Arabidopsis thaliana: one gene and its partners. The protein of the gene in region 2 purifies or fractionates together with the protein of the main gene of each other region. This does not show direct contact. Each region holds a gene or a part of one and is shown on either strand. Other genes may lie near its edges. The genes, in order: SAE1B, SAE2, Fes1C and AT5G15400.

What was found.
Region 1: the proteins of SAE2 (region 2) and SAE1B fractionate together in Arabidopsis thaliana (co-fractionation; one large-scale study listed by BioGRID). This does not show direct contact.
Region 3: the proteins of SAE2 (region 2) and Fes1C fractionate together in Arabidopsis thaliana (co-fractionation; one large-scale study listed by BioGRID). This does not show direct contact.
Region 4: the proteins of SAE2 (region 2) and AT5G15400 fractionate together in Arabidopsis thaliana (co-fractionation; one large-scale study listed by BioGRID). This does not show direct contact.

What each region holds. Positions count from the first base shown.
Region 1 is NC_003076.8:20,583,765-20,588,262, forward strand, and holds SAE1B (SUMO-activating enzyme 1B), read left to right. Parts: upstream 1-1,584; 5' UTR 1,585-1,735; coding exon 1,736-1,818; intron 1,819-2,012; coding exon 2,013-2,064; intron 2,065-2,158; coding exon 2,159-2,354; intron 2,355-2,438; coding exon 2,439-2,518; intron 2,519-2,615; coding exon 2,616-2,732; intron 2,733-2,836; coding exon 2,837-2,887; intron 2,888-2,979; coding exon 2,980-3,046; intron 3,047-3,128; coding exon 3,129-3,232; intron 3,233-3,324; coding exon 3,325-3,429; intron 3,430-3,529; coding exon 3,530-3,637; 3' UTR 3,638-3,997; downstream 3,998-4,498. Other genes in the region: SPL13A (Squamosa promoter-binding protein-like (SBP domain) transcription factor family protein), read right to left, coding at 1-27; HSD4 (hydroxysteroid dehydrogenase 4), read left to right, coding at 4,224-4,406. UniProt on the Arabidopsis thaliana protein: The dimeric enzyme acts as an E1 ligase for SUMO1 and SUMO2. It mediates ATP-dependent activation of SUMO proteins and formation of a thioester with a conserved cysteine residue on SAE2. Functionally redundant with its paralog SAE1A.
Region 2 is NC_003071.7:9,197,012-9,202,992, forward strand, and holds SAE2 (SUMO-activating enzyme 2), read left to right. Parts: upstream 1-1,582; 5' UTR 1,583-1,740; coding exon 1,741-1,773; intron 1,774-1,859; coding exon 1,860-1,949; intron 1,950-2,447; coding exon 2,448-2,531; intron 2,532-2,602; coding exon 2,603-2,821; intron 2,822-2,968; coding exon 2,969-3,070; intron 3,071-3,205; coding exon 3,206-3,664; coding exon of another isoform or gene 3,665-3,673; intron 3,674-3,755; coding exon 3,756-3,985; intron 3,986-4,068; coding exon 4,069-4,162; intron 4,163-4,249; coding exon 4,250-4,432; intron 4,433-4,516; coding exon 4,517-5,125; 3' UTR 5,126-5,439; downstream 5,440-5,981. Other genes in the region: AT2G21480 (Malectin/receptor-like protein kinase family protein), read right to left, coding at 5,742-5,981.
Region 3 is NC_003076.8:423,955-428,083, forward strand, and holds Fes1C (Fes1C), read right to left. Parts: upstream 2,425-4,129; 5' UTR 2,259-2,424; intron 2,163-2,258; exon of another isoform or gene 2,141-2,162; 5' UTR 2,115-2,140; coding exon 2,029-2,114; intron 1,836-2,028; exon of another isoform or gene 1,832-1,835; coding exon 1,689-1,831; intron 1,605-1,688; coding exon 1,554-1,604; intron 1,461-1,553; coding exon 1,239-1,460; intron 1,127-1,238; coding exon 1,024-1,126; intron 897-1,023; coding exon 527-896; downstream 1-526. Other genes in the region: AT5G02140 (Pathogenesis-related thaumatin superfamily protein), read left to right, coding at 1-251, 327-483; AT5G02160 (uncharacterized protein), read left to right, coding at 2,438-2,685, 2,929-3,070; AT5G02170 (Transmembrane amino acid transporter family protein), read left to right, coding at 3,905-4,062.
Region 4 is NC_003076.8:4,997,229-5,005,091, reverse strand, and holds AT5G15400 (U-box domain-containing protein), read left to right. Parts: upstream 1-1,838; 5' UTR 1,839-2,184; coding exon 2,185-3,044; intron 3,045-3,515; coding exon 3,516-3,720; intron 3,721-3,861; coding exon 3,862-4,013; intron 4,014-4,100; coding exon 4,101-4,374; intron 4,375-4,647; coding exon 4,648-4,800; intron 4,801-4,899; coding exon 4,900-5,103; intron 5,104-5,184; coding exon 5,185-5,297; intron 5,298-5,407; coding exon 5,408-5,525; intron 5,526-5,680; coding exon 5,681-5,770; intron 5,771-5,850; coding exon 5,851-6,054; intron 6,055-6,133; coding exon 6,134-6,229; intron 6,230-6,312; coding exon 6,313-6,435; intron 6,436-6,517; coding exon 6,518-6,610; intron 6,611-6,694; coding exon 6,695-6,859; intron 6,860-6,964; coding exon 6,965-7,054; intron 7,055-7,151; coding exon 7,152-7,328; 3' UTR 7,329-7,603; downstream 7,604-7,863. Other genes in the region: DND1 (Cyclic nucleotide-regulated ion channel family protein), read left to right, coding at 1-295, 393-504, 597-833, 920-1,006, 1,123-1,632; AT5G15390 (tRNA/rRNA methyltransferase (SpoU) family protein), read right to left, coding at 7,837-7,863. UniProt on the Arabidopsis thaliana protein: Ubiquitin-protein ligase that may function as an E3 ligase in conjunction with specific E1 and E2 ligases. May also function as an E4 ligase mediating the assembly of polyubiquitin chain assembly on substrates monoubiquitinated by another E3 ubiquitin ligase.

The DNA of each region.
Region 1 (4,498 bases), on a different chromosome or scaffold from region 2:
AGAGCTAAGTTTGAAATTCCAGTCCATTCAAAGATTGTGCTTTTTTTTCTTCTCTCACTATAAAAACACATACATACACAACAGCAATCAAAGCAATATCAAGATTTGTCCTTTTTGATATTGGTACTCTAAATTTAAGAACAAACAGCAAAAACAACTAGTAAACATAAAACCCATGAATCTTTAACTCAATTAAACTTCAACTTCAATACATATGAAGGAAAATAAAAAAGCATAAGCAAAAAGCAAAAACACAATTATAAAGAGTACTCTGAAATTGTAGTTGAAGCTCTAACAAAATGATCTATTTTGATATTGAAAAAAAAACAAAAAAAAAATCCCAAAAAAGGCAAACTAATTGTACTGAAAAAACGAAATGAGAAGTGCAGAAACATAGAAACTAGAACAGATCCCACAAAATGGGAAGAAAGGAAAACAAAAAAAAAAACAAAAAACTTTTTTTCTGTCTACTCAATTCCAAGCAAGAATTAAAAAAATGCAATAAAAATGAAAGATTAAAGTAAGATTATAAACATGTTATTACATTAAAAAAAACTATAGAATAAGAAAAGTTTGTTGTTTGAAGGTTGAGAAATCTTACCAAATCCATACACCTACCAGTAGAGTCAGTAGAAGAAGAAACTCCAAAAGAGAAAGATGAAAATATAAAAAAATGGGACAAGTGAAAAAAAAGAAAGAGAAGATGATGGAGTTTAGCAAGAGAAAGTGGAGACAACAAGTGTGGCTGCTACTTCAATAATGCAAATAAGAGAAAGAGGAAAGAGAGAGAGAAATTGATGATAATAGCTATTACTAAGTTAAGAAATGATTTACTTACTTTAATTGTAACTTTACTTTCCTGATTTAGGGTTTTATTGATATCATTTTTTAAAAACTTTGAGTAAGAAAAAGTGAAGAAAAGAATGGAGGAAAGTGACAGCTGTTGTTGATTGTTCTTTTGCTTACTTTTTCAACTTTTCTTTGTTTATATTTTTCTCTGCCATTCATCAATTCTGAACTCTGAGCATCCGATTTTTATGAATGAACAGAGTATACTTTTGAAAATTTCAAATTACTCATAAATCTTGTATCTTTTTACTGACCCTTATCCAAAATATATTAGTTTTCAAATTGTGATATAAAATAGATGTGGTTTTTTCTTTTTTATAACTATGATGATGATGAAAATGAAACAATAAATTGGAAAGTGATACTAAAGAAAGAGGTATAGGATGCTTAGTTGTTTACGGCAAAAAACATAGCATGTGAATGTTGTGCTTCGCATTACACAACATCTTCTTCTGTTTTTTTTCTTCTCTCTTTCCACCGATACGCGTTATTTTCTTTGACTTTCATAGTTACGGGTCACACAAGTTGTCAATTATCAGGGAGAATCGTATAAAAGTCTTCCATGTCTTTAAAAGTTTTGCAGATGGATTTAAAAGATTTGGGGTCCAAAGCCCATGTTTCATTTGTTTCGGCCCATAAATTGTCCTAAAAAATAACAAATTGGTTATTTATTGAATGCACAGTTGTTTTGAATTTAAAAATTTGTAGTTGACGAACCGGACCAAACCAAAACAAACCATGTAATTTGAATAAATAAAAAGAAAGCAATTTTCCGGTTAACAAAAAATCTCAAACTCAGTGAGTGAGTCACCGAAAACCTCTTGTAGTAGATTCGTGACGGGTTTGATCATCTCTTCGAGGTCGGTTCTAGGGTTTCACTACGAGAATGGACGGAGATGAGCTCACCGAGCAGGAAACTGCTCTTTATGACCGTCAAATTAGGGTATGGGGAGCTGGTGCTCAAAGAAGGTACTTCACATTGAATCTAACTTCTATGGCTTCAAGCAACAACAAGTTATTGATTTTCCGTTTGAGTACTAATAAACTCTTCTTGTTGGGCTATACTCGGTGAAAGTTTATCTCTTTCTGGGTTTTAAGCTAATTTAGCTGTTGAAATTTTGATTAGGGCTTCTCTGAATTTTGTTTTGTGTTTTTGCTTGCAGATTGAGTAAATCTCATGTTTTGGTATCTGGAATTAAGGGCACTGTTGCTGAGGTACCTCTTACTTTATTTTGTGACTCTCTATTAGCTATGTTGCAGTAGAGTGAGTGTTGGCATCTTACTTGGTTTCCTCCATTTGGTGTTGCAGTTTTGTAAGAACATTGTGTTGGCAGGAGTAGGTAGTGTGACTCTGTTGGATGATCGATTGGTTACAACGGAAGTCTTCAACGCAAACTTCTTGATTCTTCCTGATGAAAATGCTTATGTAGGCAAAACCGTAGCTGAGATTTGTTGTGATTCACTTAAGGATTTTAACCCTATGGTTCATGTTTCAATAGAGAAAGGTTACTCCTCCTTTCTTCATTTCTCTCTAATTTTAGTAGAAACAAATGATTTTAGTAACATCGAGTCTATGTCTTCAATTTCAGGTGATTTGTCAACACTTGGTGTTGATTTTTTCGAGAAGTTTGATGTTGTGGTTATCGGCTACAGTTCTCGTGCTACTAAGGTACTGTTGATACCTCCTTCTTTTAGTTGTTCCAGTTGTTTTTGTCTTTTGTTGCCATGTAGATTGATCACTTGAAATAATGTGCTTTGTTATGCAGAAAGCAGTTAATGAAAAGTGTAGGAACCTAGCAAAAGATGTAGCGTTCTATACAGTTGATTGTAGAGGCTCATGTGGCGAAATATTTGTCGACCTTCAGAATTATAAGTACACAAAGGTACTCATCTCGTTTTTTTCTTTTGACGGTTGTATATCACATGCCTTTCTTTTGGCATATAATGTGTTAACTTTCTTTCTCTATTGTCAATTTTGGCTTCATAGAAAAAGCTTGATGAAACAGTGGAATGTGAACTAACATTTCCAAGTTTTGAGGTACAACAAACTTAACTTCTTACTTTCCTGGAACATACTTTCGCATGAAAAGTAATAGAAATTCAATCTATTAACTGGTCTTATTTCTCCAGGAGGCAGTTTCAGTACCGTGGAAACCGATGCCAAGGAGAACAGCAAAGCTCTACTTTGCAATGAGAGGTCTGGCTAACAACAACAGCTAACCTTTTGAAAGCTTGGTTTCTTCCTACGTAACTAATCCGGTTTTGTGATATTCTTGCAGTGATAGAACTATTTGAGGAAACTGAAGGACGTAAACCTGGGGAATGTTCGCTGTCTGATCTCCCAAGAGTTTTGAAACTCAAAAAGGAACTATGTGAAGGAAATGTAAGTTTCTTTAACCTTTATTTGTAAGCTCTACAATAATAACGACAAATAACAAACTTTGTCACTCACTTTGAATCCGAATGTTGCAACAGTCGGTCAGCGAGAATCATATTCCAGATATCCTCTTGGAGAGACTCGTATCTAATAACACAGAATTCCCACCGGCTTGTGCCATCATTGGAGGGATTCTAGGACAGGTACAGTTCTCTATCTCGCTTCTCTAGGACTTTGTTAGTTATCTAGATTAAGCACTTAGCAGAGTAATGTGACTCAAAAAAGTTGTATTTGTACGTACAGGAGGTGATAAAAGTTATATCAGGCAAAGGAGAGCCGTTGAAGAACTTCTTCTACTTTGATGCAGAGGATGGGAAAGGTGTAATCGAGGACCTATCCCACAAGCTTTAACTTCCAAACATGAAAGGTGCTGTGAAACGCTGCTCTTAGTAATTAGTTCCTTGTTGAAGATTGTATTGGAAATTAGACTTTAGAGTACTTAGAACTTGGCTCCTTGTCTTTTGTATCTACTAACTTGGTTCGCTCCTAAAGACAATCTGTAACCCACTATTTACTTTAATCCATCAATTTACACACTCCTATCTATGTGAAGGTGTTCTATTTTGTCCGGAAATTTTCGATTTCGGTTTCTGGCTCTTTGAGTGGCATCTTTATAATATAACAAACAGCAAAATTTGACAGTCTATAGTGAGTTTTGTTATGGTTCATTGCTTAGTGACATTATTTGTTGTTGAGGGAGGTTTCAAACCAATAGAGATGAAAGTGGAAACTTCTCCACAAGTTGAGAAAAATATTTGATAAAAACATAAGTTGGATGAGGACAAACACAAAAGATACCAAATAATGATTTGGAGATTCTCTTATCCTTAATCTTAAATACTAAAGTCTATGACAGTGACATCTGAACAGAAGAAAGCTCAAGAGTATATAAATTGTAGCTTAGCCTCTGGTGAAGCAGAATCACAAAGTCAAGGATATGGATTTAAACAACAAGATCTTTAACATCCTTCTTCCTATTGTCACGGTTTCGTTTCTTTTAGTGTTCATGCCATTTTCAATATTCTTCAAGCTCCTCCAGTTCATAAGGGGATGCAAAGAGTCCGAGAAAGTCAACGGAAAAGTCGTCATCATCACCGGATCTTCCTCAGGAATTGGCGAGGTTAGTTTGTTTGTAATCCTAGAAAAGCTTGGTCTATTTTTTATAAATTGGTTAGTTATTTGGTAAAAAACAAAAGCAATTTGAAGTTGATT
Region 2 (5,981 bases):
CATTAGTAGTATTTGGTTCATGAAATGAAATCATTTTTTTTTTTTTTTGAATACCAGAGATTCTGGGTCAAAGTCCGTAATCCTCCCAAATCTGAAACCACAGCATATAATATTAGTTTAGTCTCAAGCGTCACTCGAACCGGCAACCTCTAAGCTTCACCTAGGGTTTTTACCAATTAAGCTAACGATATTTGGTATAAATGAATTCTTTTTTAGTTACACTCAGATGGATACTAGGCTTTACAGACAAAGAAGTCGAGAGTGCACAAGCACCAATCCTACTAAATCCATTTTGATCACTTCACAACATGATATCAAGTGAAATGGATATTATTTATGAGGAAGTGTAATTTAATAATCTAGGTTACACCTATGTGTATATAATGCAACAAACAATCAATTAGTAAAACTACACCCCAAAGCGAATTACAAGATCAACACAAAGAGTCACATAAATGTGCATTCAAGAAATGACAATAAACACTAAGGTCTTGAATATGGGAGAACCCAATTAGACGAGATAAAATGCAAGCCAATAACAGGTAATTAGGACTACAAAACAAAGAGATAAAATGCATAACATGATTCAAAATTGGAAACTAAATTGAACAATCAATGAGCTAACTAGGGCTATTAGAGTAATCAACACAAGAGAATGCATCAAGGTAAAGAAGGAGAATCAAGCACATACATTAGTCGTATGTGACTAACGACCAATGAATTAGTGAAACTAAACCCTAAAGTCAATTACAAGTATCATCCCGAGGGAATTACATAAACACCTATTGAAGAAAGGAAATACTAAAGACCAGAGAACCCAATGGGCATGATAAAACACAAGGCAAAGAGCTCTAAGTATCATGACAGAGAAGAAGAGGTAACACACCGAATTCAACACACAATGAAGAAAGAACATTACACCATGAGAGACGTACGATGCTTCCATTCAGTATCCATTGTAGGAATTCATCAAACCAGAGAAAGCATTACTTGAATATACATTCCATCAACCAAGCAAAAAGTCGTGACTGAAATAAACTACAAATTCAACAAAACAAACGTGTTTTGTTTTTATCAAAACGTCATTGTCTAGATTTATTGAATTAAGCTTTAACTCTTAGCAAATGATTGAGATAGTTTAAACAAATATCAAGAACTTAACCTAACGTAAGCTATAAACTCTATATAAAAAAATCCATCAGTAGAGATAGTTTATAAAATTTGAAAAGAAAAAAATTAAAAGGCTTGAGTCCGATCAAACTACTAATTAAAAGCCATCACTAAATTGAGCAAGAAGGTGTAAAGACATTTATATGAAAAAAAATATATATCTTTTTAATTAATGTTTTTCAAACATAAGTTTACATAAAAAATAAAAATTCACTCGAATCAAAATTTTGTTTTGACTCGAATCGAATTGAATTAAAAAAGTCAACTACACTAAATATTCGAAAGAGGAAACTAACAAGTTTACACACAAAAAAGCCCACGTGACTCTTTTTTCTCCAAGAGACGTCTCTTTTCCTCTTCTCTCCTTTGTTCTTTCTTCCAAATTTCCCAAATCCCTCCACAATAAACCCTAGAAAATCAAAATTCGCTACTATTTCTCTGTTCCCTAATTTCTTTCGATTTCAATTCATTAGTCCTAAAAAGCTTTAATTTTTCTAATCCCCCAGTTCTCCTTCTTCTGCTTCTGAATCGTCGTTTAACGTATTGCTCCGTCTTTTCACTTTCTCCGCCATGGCTACGCAACAACAGCAATCCGCCATTAAAGTAAGCTCTGAAGGTGAACTTAAGCTTCTTTTTATTGGGGTGTTTTCAAATTGAAGTCTTTTCAATTCTCCTGTGTTTGGTTTTAGGGCGCGAAAGTGCTTATGGTTGGAGCTGGTGGGATTGGTTGCGAGTTACTTAAGACTCTTGCTCTTTCTGGATTCGAGGACATTCATATTGTAAGTTTCTCAATTTCTTTCCACTTTTTCTGTTTTCGTGACTTTTAGTATTCTTAACTTGTGATTTCTTCTTCTTCTCTATTGAGATTCTGGGTCACAGACGAAAGTTTAAGCATTTCAAATCTCCTATTGTGCTACTGGATTTGATTGGCATTTAGGGTTATTGATGATTTGAGTAATTTCAACATCTTTGAGCTTTTAGATCAAGTTAAGTTTGACTTGGAAGATGGAATCATATGTCTCTAGGAGGACTCTCTGTTTAGCTGTCTTCGCCAATAGGTTTAGTGTAATTTCTAAGACTAGTTAGGCTATTTATAATTTGGTGTGCATGAATTGCTTCTGTTTTAATTTTCGGATTTTGTAGATTTATGATTGATGTTTTGTATCAGAAACCATCGGATTTCACCTGTGCTCCTACTGGATTTCTGTATGAATAGAGCAGGGACTTATAAGATTAGTTTGTAACCGTGATTAAGTTACTGAACTCTTGTGTTACAGATTGACATGGACACTATTGAAGTCAGTAACCTGAATAGGCAATTTCTATTCCGTCGTTCTCATGTTGGGCAGTCTAAGGCTAAGGTAATTTTGCTTGAGCTAAGTCCAAGGAAAGCCAGTTCATAAGAGTTAATATATTTTTACCATATCACCAGGTTGCCAGAGATGCAGTCTTGAGATTTAGGCCTAACATTAATATAAGATCATACCATGCAAATGTGAAGAATCCCGAGTTTGATGTTGATTTTTTCAAGCAATTTGATGTTGTTCTGAATGGGCTGGACAACTTGGACGCAAGGCGTCATGTGAATCGCCTTTGTCTTGCAGCTGATGTTCCTCTTGTAGAAAGTGGGACAACGGGCTTCCTTGGACAGGTTATTCTGCTTGCCTTTTGGTCTTGCAGCTCTTCTTTCTCTTATCATTATTCTATGAGTTAGATGCACTACAATGTTAGGCTTGAATGGTGTACTGTTGTCATTTCTCTCGTATCTGACTTTGCAATACTTGCTTGTAAAAATCAGGTAACTGTGCATATAAAGGGAAAAACAGAATGTTATGAGTGCCAAACCAAACCTGCTCCAAAGACTTATCCTGTGTGTACAATAACCAGCACGCCAACTAAGGTATTAACACTGTCTTGTTTGTTCCAAATTTTTGTGAATCTTGGGGAAATTATATTCTATCTTGGCTTATATAGTATTATCCTAAGCATAGAGCTTGTTTTTGATGTGCCGATGAATTTTGAATTGATTCTGCAGTTTGTGCACTGTATTGTATGGGCAAAAGACCTGCTCTTTGCAAAGTTGTTTGGCGACAAGAATCAAGATAATGATCTTAATGTGCGATCCAACAATTCTGCAAGCTCATCCAAAGAAACAGAAGATGTATTTGAACGTTCAGAAGATGAAGATATTGAGCAGTATGGTAGGAAGATATATGATCATGTGTTTGGTTCTAACATTGAAGCGGCTTTGTCCAATGAAGAGACATGGAAAAATCGCAGACGACCAAGGCCTATATACAGTAAGGATGTCTTGCCTGAAAGTCTGACTCAACAAAATGGAAGCACTCAGAATTGTTCTGTTACTGATGGTGATTTAATGGTCTCTGCCATGCCATCGCTTGGCCTGAAGAATCCACAGGAATTGTGGGGTCTAACGCAGAATTCTCTTGTGTTCATAGAAGCATTGAAGTTGTTCTTCGCCAAGAGAAAGAAGGTCTGTGTGGTCCTTTTTGTAAACTCTCCTTGTCTATAGATAAGTTTCGGTGCACTGATTAATTCATGGTTTTATCGATATGCTGCCACAGGAAATAGGACACCTTACTTTTGACAAAGATGATCAGTTAGCTGTAGAATTTGTTACTGCTGCTGCAAATATCCGTGCTGAGTCTTTCGGAATTCCTTTGCACAGCCTTTTTGAAGCGAAAGGTATTGCTGGAAACATTGTTCATGCTGTTGCTACGACCAACGCCATTATTGCTGGTTTAATTGTCATTGAAGCAATCAAAGTGCTGAAAAAGGATGTGGACAAGTTCAGGTTTGTTACTTTGAAATCGTCTGTGTTTCATAAGGTTTTAGCGTTCTTGATATCTATTTAAAAATCATTTTTGTTCTCTCTAGAATGACATATTGCTTAGAACACCCAAGCAAAAAGCTGCTGCTTATGCCAATCGAGCCATATGAACCTAATCCTGCTTGCTATGTCTGTTCCGAGGTATACACATCATTGTTGTTTAGCCTTCTTTCATAAGCTTCCTTGTATTACCAGTCATCTGATTTTCTTTGTGGTTTTTATCAACAGACCCCATTAGTACTCGAGATCAATACTCGGAAATCAAAACTACGGGATCTAGTTGATAAAATTGTGAAAACCAAGCTTGGAATGAACCTACCGTTGATTATGCACGGGAATTCGCTTCTGTATGAAGTTGGCGATGATCTTGATGATATTATGGTTGCAAACTACAACGCTAATCTTGAGAAGGTTTGGTCTTGATTGTTCTACCATTTGCAATTAAAACACAGGTTTAGATATCGCAATTTCTCACATGCTTGTAATCTTTTTCAGTATCTATCAGAACTTCCTTCTCCCATTCTTAACGGAAGCATTCTCACAGTCGAAGATCTTCAACAAGAGCTATCTTGCAAGATAAATGTCAAGCACAGGTTTTTTTCTGAAATTTTGAATCCTGTTTTAAATTCAGTTTGGTTTCTGATTATATTACCATCGACTTTCCCTAAACTCTTCCATTTCACTGAATCACGAAATCAAGATGGGTTATCATTAGACATCATCCTAGGATTCTCAAATGTAACTATTAGGAGAGTCCTTACCATGTTTGAAACTGGCAGACGTTTAACGCATCCTTTACTTATTCTGTTCTGTCACAGGGAAGAATTTGACGAGGAAAAAGAACCTGAAGGAATGGTACTCTCTGGATGGACACCATCTCCAGCTACCAATGGCGAGAGCGCATCAACATCAAACAACGAGAACCCAGTTGATGTTACAGAGAGTTCCTCAGGATCCGAGCCTGCTTCTAAGAAGAGAAGACTCTCTGAGACCGAGGCCAGTAATCATAAGAAAGAAACAGAGAACGTCGAGAGTGAAGATGATGATATCATGGAGGTTGAAAATCCCATGATGGTGAGCAAAAAGAAGATAAGAGTTGAATAGGCCCCTTTTTTGAAAGATCTGATCCCTAAATGCTTGCTTTATTTATTAGCTTCTTTTTACTTCGATCTAACTTTCTACTTTCTGAAATTATGCCACAAGAATTACAAAGTATGATTTAGGGATTCTTTGATGAAGAAGAAAACTACTCAGATTGTTAAATATTTACTAGGACAGGATCCTTTGGATGAGGAGCTCAGGAACTCATTTTAAGGAAGCAATTTTTGCTTTCCAGAGATTCCTGTTATGTTTTCACTAACTGTAAGAGCTCCCTTGTATCTTTATTTCTTCGAGTTATCAAATTTTCTGTTTTTTTTTTTGTTTTTTTTTGTTTAAGAAATCTCAAACTACTTTTTCAATATTAATAGACTAAAGAATCGGTTGATTATGAAAAGATTTACATACAGTTTATTTGAAAATTTGTTTTTTGAAACTAAGTATCAACAATAACCTATTACACCGCTGTAGAATACATTTCCGTTACAAAGCAAGATAAAAAAAAAAGAAAAAAATTTACCTTACAAATTATACAACAAATCCGATTACCTCAAGAGGATCAATGTTTCATTTTTCTAACTCTTCACACCGTTTGGTTTGGTGCAAATGCTTCATCAGTTTATTATCTTCCGTTAAGGCTAGCAAACTGAGTAAACATGGTGGTTCCAGAGTGTTGGTCCACCGTTGAGTCATCCTTCTCTTCAGTCTGAGAAACTGGACGTTCACTTGCTGCAGCAGTGGTGGCAGCAGGTGAAGTCGGCGCAGCAGCAGGGACAGCCACAGGCTTGGGAGTCTCAACCTCCTCAGCCTCAGCTTTACCCTGAGAAAAAGCCTCTTGAAGCTGAAGAGCATATTCTAAGTT
Region 3 (4,129 bases), on a different chromosome or scaffold from region 2:
TGTTGTCCATCAGCTTTGGAAGTTAAGAGAGATGGGAAAGTGGTTGGTTGTAAAAGTGCTTGCTTGGCGATGCAATCGGCTAAGTATTGTTGCACCGGTGAATATGCGAATCCTCAGGCGTGTAAGCCGACTCTGTTCGCGAATCTGTTTAAAGCGATTTGTCCTAAAGCTTATAGTTATGCGTTTGATGATTCTAGTAGTTTGAATAAGTGTAGAGCTTCTCGTTATGTTATCACTTTCTGTCCTCCAAAGTGAGAGGCTTCTGATTTTTATGTTATGTTTATCATGCAGTAGCTTGATTTGGTACTTGTACGGTCTGTTTTTAGGTCATTGAATGAGAAACTGAGAAAATTTGAACTCAAAATAGAATCAAAATTTGGTCATTATACAGTGGTTACCATCCTTTTAACTAGTGTTCTAAAGACACAAGCTTTAGCTGGTGGGTCCAAAGACATAAAAGACGGTTTTAGTGCTTACTCATGATATAAGGAAGCACAGACGGTTTTGTCTCTTTGTATCTTTGTCTCTAAAGAGAAGAAGGTTCGTTGAAGATTGTGGTCCATAGTGAATCTAAGAGCTGCCTCTCCTCTTTAGCGGCTGATAGATCTTCTTGTGACATAAACAAGCTCATTGCTTTGACCCGGCTGATTGCTTTGATCCGATCTTTTAGAATCTGTCTGAGTCTCTCATCGCCTTTCACTATGCTAGAACCACAAGTACTACAGTCTTTTCTAGCTTTCACGAGCTCAAGCAATCCTCGAAGAGCAGCTTCTCTTACATCAGCATCGAAGCTAGACACGAGGTGCATCATCAAATGGTGAAGCCCGAATTCTATAGCAATATCGGAGTCTGAGTCATTCTCTTGTAGAAGATAATGCAACAAGTTTAAAGCTTTCCTGAAGAATGAGAAAGTAATGACAAAAGTTTTGAAAGTTAGACAACAGCAGAACAAAGGTTACAACTTTGTGTTCTCTCAAAGTTCAGAGGAATCCAAGCATGAAGAAAAGTGAAGAGTATTATTACCTTTGAAATCTCACACTATCAGTTTCCAAAGCATCTTTTAAACCAGAGTAACCATTTGCAATCCGGAAACCTGTGATCCCAGGTTTATTATTGCGAATCAAAGCTGTACCCCAAATTTACCACAATACATTCATCAGATTTACGATAGACATTTTTGTTTTTGAAAAAGGCATTCGACCATCTAAGTATATAGGATAGAACTCAGAGCAGCTTACATGATATTGCACCGAGAGCCTGTGTTCGAGAATGCATATCGGTGTCTGAAGTAAACCTTAAAAGCAAGGACTCTAAACCATTGGCTTCCATAACTGATTCTTGACTCCGAGGATTGTTCTCAACTATTGTGCTTACAACATCTGCAGACTTAGCCCGGATATTAGCATTGGAGTTTTTGAGGTAGCCAAGAAGAGGTACCAAGCCTCCAACGGAATGAAGATCTGCCCATACATTCAAAGAAGTACAAGTTAAGCCCAGCAATCAAAAGACAGATATAGAACAAAGTTACAAGGTCAAAGTATGAAAAGACTCACCATTAGCCATATCAATCGATTCAACATGTTCCTGCAACTCATCCAACAAACCTACCAAATCATCATAACTCAAAATCTTAGTAACCAACAAGAGAGAAAATAGCTAAGAAAACAATAGTGAACTCCATATTGAACCTTCAATATCTTGAGGGGTCACTTCATGAGCCTCCAAAACTTGTTGAGGTGTCTGCAATACCTGTGTAATCTCCTTCAACCGCTTGACTACATCTACCGTTTGTGATTGCATAGCTTCTGCAAACCATTTTCGATCCTCCTCACTGTCTAACCAAACAATTTCATATCATCAAAAACCATCTACCAAACAATACCAAATCAAATAGTCAAATTCCACTACATGATTCATTCCTCATAAGAAACTGACGCAGAACCACGCAAATTTCTAAAACAACCCAACAAACAACATAAGCTCCACTAAGTGACCAACAAAACCTGAAATTACAAAGAAACTTCGTACCTTAATTGGCAAGTAGGTCGAGTACCATCGGAGTGAGAGAGACTCCACTTAAGCAGACCGTCCCAGTTAGGTCCGTCTTTCGCCATTGAAGCAACGGAAGAAGAGAAAGACTCTGCGAAGGTCAGAGAGTCAGAGACAATGACAAATAGTTTGGGCCTTATGTTCACGCTAACTTAATAATGGGCTTAACAGGCCCAATTGTTAACTCGAAATATCTTGAAGGGGCCTACCTTATCCACACACAAAAGAAAACTGAAGAACCCCAAAAATCCCAAGTGAAAACGTTATCCACTTCGAGAGAGTGACACGTCACGAAGCAAATCCAAATTCAAAACCTTTCCATAAAAATCAAATCACTTCTTCTTATTACTTCCCCCAAATCGAAATCAGTCACTTAAAACCCTAAATTATGACGATCGCACCGGCATTGCAGACGACGTTCGTGTCATCAACCAACTTCCTGAAACATTCTTCTTCGTGGGGATCACCATCACCGAACAATGTGATTCTTCCCAAAAACAAGAGATCTTCTTCCTCCGTAGTTGTCGCCGCCGTCGGTGATGTCTCTTCTGACGGAACAATCTACTTAATCGGCGGAGCCATCGCCGTTGCACTCGTCGGAACTGCATTCCCGATCCTCTTCAAACGCAAAGACACGTAAACCACTCTCATCTTTTTACCTTGTGACTTAAACCGGTTTTAATGCTCGTTAAACCAAATTTTGACTGATCAATTGCAGATTATCATAGTTTATTGTCCGGTTCAACATTCGAATTATCTTAACCGGACTAAATCCTCTGTTATGGATTTTGAAAACGTACATAAACTCTTAGCCGATGTAGTAAACTGAATCAGAGATTGTACATTGTGAGTTTAAGCTCTGAAATGTGTGTGGTTTAGGTGTCCGGAATGTGACGGAGCAGGATTTGTGAGGAAAGGAGGAGTGACTCTGAGAGCCAACGCCGCACGGAAGGATCTTCCTCAGATCGTTTGTGCTAACTGCAATGGACTCGGAAAGCTTAACCAGATTGATAAATCATAAGTCTTCTTCATATATATGTAAAAAGCTCCATTTCTCATTCCTCTTCTTCTCTACAATATACCTCTGCAAAAGTAGATAGCTTGGAATGATCAATGGTTGCTTGGAGATGGGTGGATATATATATATATATATATATATACAATTGCTTTTTTATGTGTAAGTTTCTTTGCTTTCTTGTTCTGTAAGAAATTGTCTGAGTATTATTGTAAGTTTTTAAGCAGTTATAGACGAAGGTGCTCAGCTACCAAAATAAAACGAACAAAAAATAAATTTAACTGCTGCATAAGTAATTAGAGATGAACATTTAATGGCCAATTAATGACCCAACTGTCATTGGCTTCTTACATCACATGCATATCAACTAATCTTCATTACGTGTCTATTTCTGTGTTTTATAAATAACCTCGCCAGAAACGTTTTTATATTTTTTCAAGCAAATAGTATTATTGTATAAAAACTAAATTTTTTGTAAATGAACCTTACGCGTCAGAGTAGAAGATTCTTTGAATTGTTCTTGAAGTTTCTTAGATTTAGTAGTGATAGGATAATGGGACATTATTAAATTTATCTTATTGGTGGAATAATGGGAAAATCGTGAATTTGTTCATTAATACATTTAAATTATGGGGAAAAACAAATTCAGGGAGACATCATCATAGGTAAGGAGACTGCTAATTAAAGAATATAAAGAAACGTGACAATAATTTAGAACTTGAAAACAGAACACGTTTCGTTGCGTCCCCTAGTTGCTTCTTCTCAATCTTCTTCTTCTTCTTTTTAGACCTTTTGTTGGTTTTTGAAACAGAGCACAGTAGAAGAATACAAACAAAGTAGATGAAGCAAAACGAGACATTCGATCAAGAAAGGGAAGATTTGTATCACACGTTCGATGAGGAAGATGAAGAAAGCCAAACAGAGAGCTCCGTTCCCTCAACTCCTTTATCTCGTAACAGATCCGAAGACGTTCCCGTTCCGTGGCCTCGAAGTTATCGGTAAATCATTTTCTTTTTAAGTGCTCTGTTTTTGTAAGAGATCTGAAGAAATTATTCTTTAGAGAAT
Region 4 (7,863 bases), on a different chromosome or scaffold from region 2:
TCGCAATACAGCGTGTTGCTTCTTGCATAAGACAACAATGTATGAGAACCGGGAACTGCAATCTGAGTCTGGCTTGCAAAGAAGAGGTCTGTTACCAATTTGTGTCACCGACAAGCACAGTTGGATATCCATGCTTATCTGGAAACCTTACCAGTGTGGTCAATAAGCCTATGTGCTTAGACTCTAACGGACCATTCCGATATGGTATCTACCGTTGGGCACTTCCAGTCATCTCCAGCAACTCTCTTGCGGTTAAGATCCTTTACCCCATCTTCTGGGGCCTAATGACTCTCAGGTAATTGCTTTGTTTCTGAGCTTAAGGTTTACATCTTGGATATAAAAAAATTCTCTGATTGACATACTGAATCTGTTTTGGGGGTCGCGTTTTACAGCACATTTGCGAATGATCTTGAGCCCACAAGCAACTGGCTCGAGGTTATTTTCAGTATAGTTATGGTTCTAAGTGGCTTGTTACTTTTCACGCTGTTGATAGGAAACATTCAGGTAAACTATGCAAGAATATGTCTTTTCTATGATATTGTGTTTTCATGGAATGTAAGATTTTAAAAAGCTTTTTACTTTACAATATTTTGAAGGTGTTTTTGCATGCGGTAATGGCGAAAAAAAGGAAAATGCAGATACGGTGTAGGGATATGGAATGGTGGATGAAACGTAGGCAGTTACCTTCCCGGTTAAGACAGAGGGTTAGGCGATTTGAGCGGCAGAGATGGAATGCCTTGGGTGGTGAAGACGAGCTAGAACTTATACATGATTTGCCTCCGGGTCTTCGAAGAGATATCAAACGATATCTTTGCTTTGATCTCATTAACAAGGTACTAGGAAGCAGACTTTATACAATCTTGTTAAGACTTGTGAAAGCAGTAAGTGTTAAGTCTCTGACATGTTTGATCTTTCTCAGGTGCCATTGTTCAGGGGCATGGACGACTTGATCCTCGACAACATTTGCGATCGGGCTAAGCCTCGAGTCTTCTCTAAAGACGAAAAGGTACTCATCCCATCATTTCTAAAAATTTATATTTCCAATATTTTGCTTCGGTTTCGGTTTAAGAGTTTACTTGAAGAGTAAAATCTGAGGTTCTTCGATTTTGTTGATTGTCACAGATCATCCGTGAAGGAGATCCTGTACAGAGAATGATATTCATCATGCGTGGACGAGTCAAACGTATACAGAGCCTAAGCAAAGGCGTCCTAGCCACTAGTACACTAGAACCAGGCGGTTACTTGGGCGACGAGCTACTCTCATGGTGCCTACGTCGCCCGTTTCTGGACCGTCTTCCCCCTTCCTCAGCAACATTTGTCTGCCTAGAAAACATCGAGGCATTCTCCCTCGGATCCGAAGATCTTAGGTACATTACCGATCATTTCCGTTATAAATTCGCGAACGAGCGGCTTAAGCGGACCGCAAGATACTATTCCTCAAACTGGAGGACGTGGGCAGCGGTAAATATTCAGATGGCGTGGCGCCGGCGTAGGAAAAGAACCCGTGGTGAAAACATCGGCGGTTCGATGAGTCCTGTGTCGGAGAATAGCATTGAAGGTAACAGTGAACGCCGGTTACTTCAGTATGCAGCTATGTTCATGTCCATTCGACCGCATGATCATCTCGAATAATAATAAAAAGTTCCAATTTTATATCGGTCCAAATAATTGTGTGTTCATTGTTCCTCCTCAATTGTTTACCTTTACTTCTTTAAAAAATCTTTCTTGGAATGATACTTCAACCTCTTACGGTTAAGTTCAAAGTAGATTTTTTGAGCAACAAAATCTTGGAGGAGTTTATCTTGGTAATTTTTTATTTTTTATTTTTTATTAGCAGTAAAAGTAATTGTCTTAATAAGTATAAACGACGTCGTTAGTAAGTACGACGTTTGCATATATCCTATATAGACTTTTTGTCCAAGCTCAGGACTTGCTAAAGCTCGTTCAGAGACTCCAAAAGAGTTCATAAACAAAAACCTACTCCCAGAAAGTTCTTCCAAATCTCTCGCCATGGTTTCTCTCTTCTTTCGTGAATTTTAGTTTTTCTAAATTTAATTATACTTTAAATTGCTAAGTCCAAACTCTTTCGCTTTTGATTCATCGGTAATACAAGTTTAAGAAAAAAAATTCTTATATTTATCTCTCAAATCGAGTTTCGAGTGTTTGATTTGATTCGTAAAATCAATGGCGACGAGCAAACCTCAAAGATCGCCGGCTGAAATTGAGGATATAATCCTCCGGAAGATATTTTATGTAACCCTAACGGAATCAACTGATTCCGATCCTCGTATTGTTTACTTGGAGATGACGGCCGCTGAGATTCTCAGCGAAGGTAAAGAGCTTTTGCTTTCTCGTGATTTGATGGAGAGAGTTCTCATAGATCGTCTCTCCGGCGACTTTTCCGACGCCGAACCGCCTTTCCCGTATTTAATCGGTTGCCACCGTCGTGCTTACGACGAATCGAAGAAAATCCAGTCGATGAAGGATAAGAATCTGAGATCGGAGATGGAGATTGTCACTAAACAAGCGAAGAAGCTTGCTGTTTCTTACTGTAGGATTCACTTGGGGAATCCTGACATGTTTGGGAACTCGGATAAACCTAGTGGTGGATTGGATAATAGGTTGAAGAAGAGGAATGTCTCTCCGGTTCTTCCGTTGATCTTTGCTGAGGTTGGTTCTGGTTCGTTGGATATGTTTGGAGCTAGTAGCAGTGGGGTTCAAGCTCCTCCTGGGTTTTTGGATGAGTTTTTCAAAGACTCGGATTTTGATAGCTTGGACTCGATTCTAAAGGAGCTGTATGAGGATTTGAGGTCTACGGTTATAAATGTATCAGTGCTTGGAGATTTCCAGCCACCACTGAGGGCACTCAAGTATCTTGTTAGCTTACCAGTAGGAGCTAAATCTCTGGTTAGTCATGAGTGGTGGGTTCCACGGGGTGCCTATATGAACGGCCGAGCAATGGAGTTGACTAGCATTCTTGGGCCTTTCTTCCATATTAGTGCGCTGCCAGATAATACACTATTCAAGAGTCAACCTGATGTTGGGTGAGTTCCAACTTATTTATGGGTTTCTATTACTGAGAATCATGTAGTCTTTGGGGCTCTTTTCTTATTGAGAAAGTTTGGATAGTAAGAATTATTGATTAGCTTTTACTCATAGTAGAGAGACTTGATCAAAAAAGGAAAAAAGCAGATATATTTGGCTTATATATGATGCCACTGTTAGGTTGTATACATATTTTAAGCATGATTATATAAATTTAGCATAGTTAGATGATCAGTAGAGGCGAAACCAACAGAAATATTAGTAAGCACTATGTTAAGTTAGAATATTGTGGATGAAATCCATTATTTTGAGCATTTTTTCTGGTCTGTACTGAAGAATCTTGATTGTCCATTTAGTATTTGACAAGGCTTAATTGTGCGAACATAAGAGTTTTCCTGATCCACCTCAGAGGATATACTTTACCTGTTATGAAAATGCTGATATATGTCTATTGTTTTTGTGAATATCAGGCAGCAGTGTTTCTCTGAAGCATCGGAACGTCGTCCCGCAGATTTATTATCATCCTTCTCCACGATTAAAAATTTCATGAACATTTTGTACAGCGGGCTGCATGATGTATTGATGATTTTACTTAAAAGTACTGATACCCGTGAGCGTGTTCTACAGTTTCTTGCAGAGGTGATCAATGCAAATGCGTCTAGAGCCCATATACAGGTAATCATCCGTTTATAAGATGCATATATACTTCGGATCTTTATTCATGAATTGCTATTGTCTCCTCTCGGTTTTATCAAGTTGGTATTTGTCTTTTTTGCTCAAATCAGCATTCTGTAATATGTTTATCTTGTATGACAGGTTGATCCAGTCTCTTGTGCTAGCTCAGGCATGTTTGTTAACCTTAGTGCAGTAATGCTCCGGCTCTGTGAACCATTTTTAGACCCACATTTAACGAAAAGGGATAAGATTGATCCAAAATACGCATTCTGTGGCCATCGCTTAAAATTAAGGTATGGTCCTCAAGATGATTCTACTTGTATTTCCTCACTGATTTTAATAGTTTCATGATGAGCAATATTATTTATGATCCACACCAGCGACTTGACCGCTCTCCATGCATCATCCGAAGAAGTTACTGAGTGGATTGGCAAAGATGCTATGGCAAACGCAAATGATGCTGGGCGAGAAAATGGGAACGAAAGTCGCTTGTTACAATCCAAAGAAGCCACAAGTTCTAGTAGTAATGCTTCTGGGCAAAATGCAAAGTCAGCAACTAAATACACTTTCATTTGTGAATGCTTCTTTATGACTGCTAGGGTCCTCAATTTGGGTCTCCTAAAAGCACTCTCTGACTTTAAACATCTTGCTCAGGTAATCATCATCACAGTTTTCCCGTCCTGGAAATATTGAAGATTTTTTGGAAAAAAAAACGACTTGTGATAAATTATCTTGCAGAAAGCTCTTATTTGATTTGGTTCCTTACATATTGTCTTATTAAGGCGTTTGTTAGTTAAAACGAGAAGGGACTATAGCAAAAACTTGAACTTAGTCACATGTTTACATTGTGAAAGTGTCATTGATTCCTGAATTTGCAGAAGATTGTTATTGTATGGTTCTTCACTTTTTCTTTTCCGCATGACGTAGGACATCTCGAGAGGTGAAGATAATCTTGCAACGCTAAAAGCCATGAGAGATCAAGCACCTTCTCCACAGTTGGAACTTGATATATCCCGAATGGAAAAAGAACTAGAGCTGTCTTCGCAGGAAAAGCTTTGCCATGAGGCCCAAATATTGAGGGTTTGTAATCATATTCTCTGCTCTGATAACATCTTCGGCTTTTCCTCTGGACCGGTAACATGATAGTAATAGCTGCCTTATCTCTATACTGTATTGAAGGATGGAGATTTTATTCAGCGAGCTCTGTCTTTCTATCGCCTAATGGTTGTTTGGTTAGTTGGACTAGTCGGTGGCTTTAAGATGCCTCTACCGTCAACTTGCCCTATGGAATTCTCCTGTATGCCTGAGCATTTTGTTGAAGATGCAATGGAGTTGCTGATATTCGCTTCAAGAATTCCCAAAGCTTTGGACGGGGTGCCGCTGGTATGCTTAGTTTGCTCTCATCAGTCTGTAGAAATTCTCTTTTTGTATTTGCACTGATGATGGTTGTTCTCTTTTCTTAAGGACGACTTTATGAACTTCATAATTATGTTCATGGCAAGTCCTGAATATGTTAGAAACCCGTATCTCAGAGCAAAGATGGTTGAAGTTCTGAACTGCTGGATGCCTCGTTCAAGGTGTTTTTCTTCCCATGAAAGAAAGCTGTACATTTGTCAATTTGTGTTGCTAATGCAACAAGTTCTGCAGTAACGTGGTCCACCATTCTAATTTTTTTTTTTTCCTGCAGTAGTTCTTCTTCTGCTACATCTACTCTCTTTGAGGGACATCAGTTATCGCTCGAGTATCTTGTCAGGAATTTACTGAAACTATATGTTGACATTGAGTTCACGGGTTCACACACTCAGGTGATTGCAAGAGATTTTGTTTAGTGGCTATAATATTCCTGGAGTAATGAACTTCTCTCTATTGCATTGTACTTGAGAATATGTTAGCTCTGGAAGCCAGAATAGCCATTTGTTCTTGCTTTTATTGGAACTGAAATCTAGTTATCCAAATGCAGTTCTATGACAAGTTCAATATTCGCCACAACATTGCCGAGCTTTTAGAGTATCTCTGGCAGGTGCCTAGTCACCGAAATGCATGGAGACGGGTAAATTCTTAGTGAGCTTGCCATGACTTTGAACTTCAACTATCATGTTCCAATGTTTTTCCAAATTTGATGTGTTACAGATTGCAAAAGACGAAGAGAAGGGCGTGTACTTGAACTTCTTAAACTTCTTAGTCAATGATAGCATCTATCTTCTGGATGAAAGTCTAAACAAAATTCTCGAGATTAAACAAATCGAGGCAGACATGTCAAATACTGCAGAGTGGGAGCAGAGACCAACTCAAGAGAGACAGGAGAGAACAAGACTCTTCCATTCGCAGGAGAATGTTAGTTGGATTATCACTTCTTATATCTTGTTTCGTACTCGAATCCCGATCCCATAAAGAACTTTGATTTTCTTTGCAGATTGTTAGAATCGACATGAAGCTGGCAAATGAAGATGTGACTATGCTTGCATTTACATCCGAGGAGATCACTGCCCCTTTCCTACTCCCTGAGATGGTACCTGACCATATTCCTGAAATGATAACCTGCCCTATGATTACCCAACTGATGAGTTTCTTTGTTTGTTTGCACTTATTTAGGTTGAGAGGGTTGCCAACATGCTTAACTACTTCTTGCTACAACTCGTGGGTCCACAGCGTAAATCTTTAAGCCTGAAAGATCCTGAGAAATATGAATTCCGTCCAAAACAGTTACTTAAACAGGTTAGTAGTGATTACAATTACTCAATTCTCCTGATCAAAGTATGTGAGAAAAAACTGACTGATATGATTGTGAACTTTGAAGATCGTTCGCATATATGTTAATCTCGCAAGAGGAGACACAGTAAACATATTCCCTGGTGCCATCTCCAGTGATGGCCGATCATATAATGAACAGGTCAGATCCTTCTTTCTAAACCAAATCCTCTTTCATAATAATAGATGCGTCTCTACTGAACTAAACAAGTGCCCGTTTTTGCAGCTATTCAATGCAGGAGCAGATGTGCTTAGGAGAATAGGTGAAGAGGGAAGAATCATTCAAGAGTTTATGGAGTTAGGCACAAAAGCCAAAGCTGCTGCTTCTGAAGCTCTGGATGCTGAAGCTGCACTTGGGGAAATACCAGACGAGTTCCTTGACCCAATTCAGGTCTTTATCTGTTGAAAGAAACACTAATTTAAACCTAAATCTTGTCTTATTACCATGCACTAATGTCTGTTCTTGTTTTTTTCTTTTCCTTTTCTTTTTTGGCAGTACACGCTAATGAGAGATCCAGTAATACTTCCAAGCTCAAGAATCACAGTTGATCGTCCCATCATTCAACGTCATCTTCTCAGCGACAATGTAAGCTTATCTAACACAATGATGATCACTGATCAGTCACATCTCTCTTTCTCTGAAGATTTTGGCTTTGTATATGATCCTCTTACTTTTGCTGCAGCATGATCCATTTAACCGAGCACATTTGACATCGGATATGTTGATACCGGACATCGAGTTGAAGGCGAAAATCGATGAGTTTGTGAAGTCGCATCAGTCTAAGAAACGGACAAGTGGAGAAGATAGCAGCAACAAGGAAAGGATACAGACTACAAACAGTGATATGTTAATTGATTAATTATGTGTTCCAAAAGTAACAAAATAATAACAATTATTCAGGACTTTTTTTTTTTACTTTTGCTAGGCTTTCTTTTCTATTAGGATTTATCTATCTATTTTAGGGCTTGCTTTCCACTTATTTGATGCCACGGGAAAAAAACTTATAAATATCATGTCTAGAACTGTTTCTATCATAAGTTCGATGTGTTCACGAGTTTCTATGCATTTCGACGTTTGTTCATGGATTACTAGTTGGCATAAGAGTTATGAGTGACCAATTCTTGAAAGGCGAAATTTCTAACTTAATCTTTGATGGCGTGAGGTCGATGCAGAAGAATGGTGAAATCAACACCACTCACTCGATTGAAAAGGCAATACGTTCGACAGAAGGATGTCTTTTATAGAATTTAAGAGTTGTACATGAAGCAAGCGTCGTACCAAAAAAAGAGTTCGAAAGAGTTTTTATAGGCGTCATTCGAAGCCTATAACACGCAAAACAGCGAGAGAATAAGACAACGGTTTCAAAATTAGGAGGAGGTAGAGTGTTGTTGTTT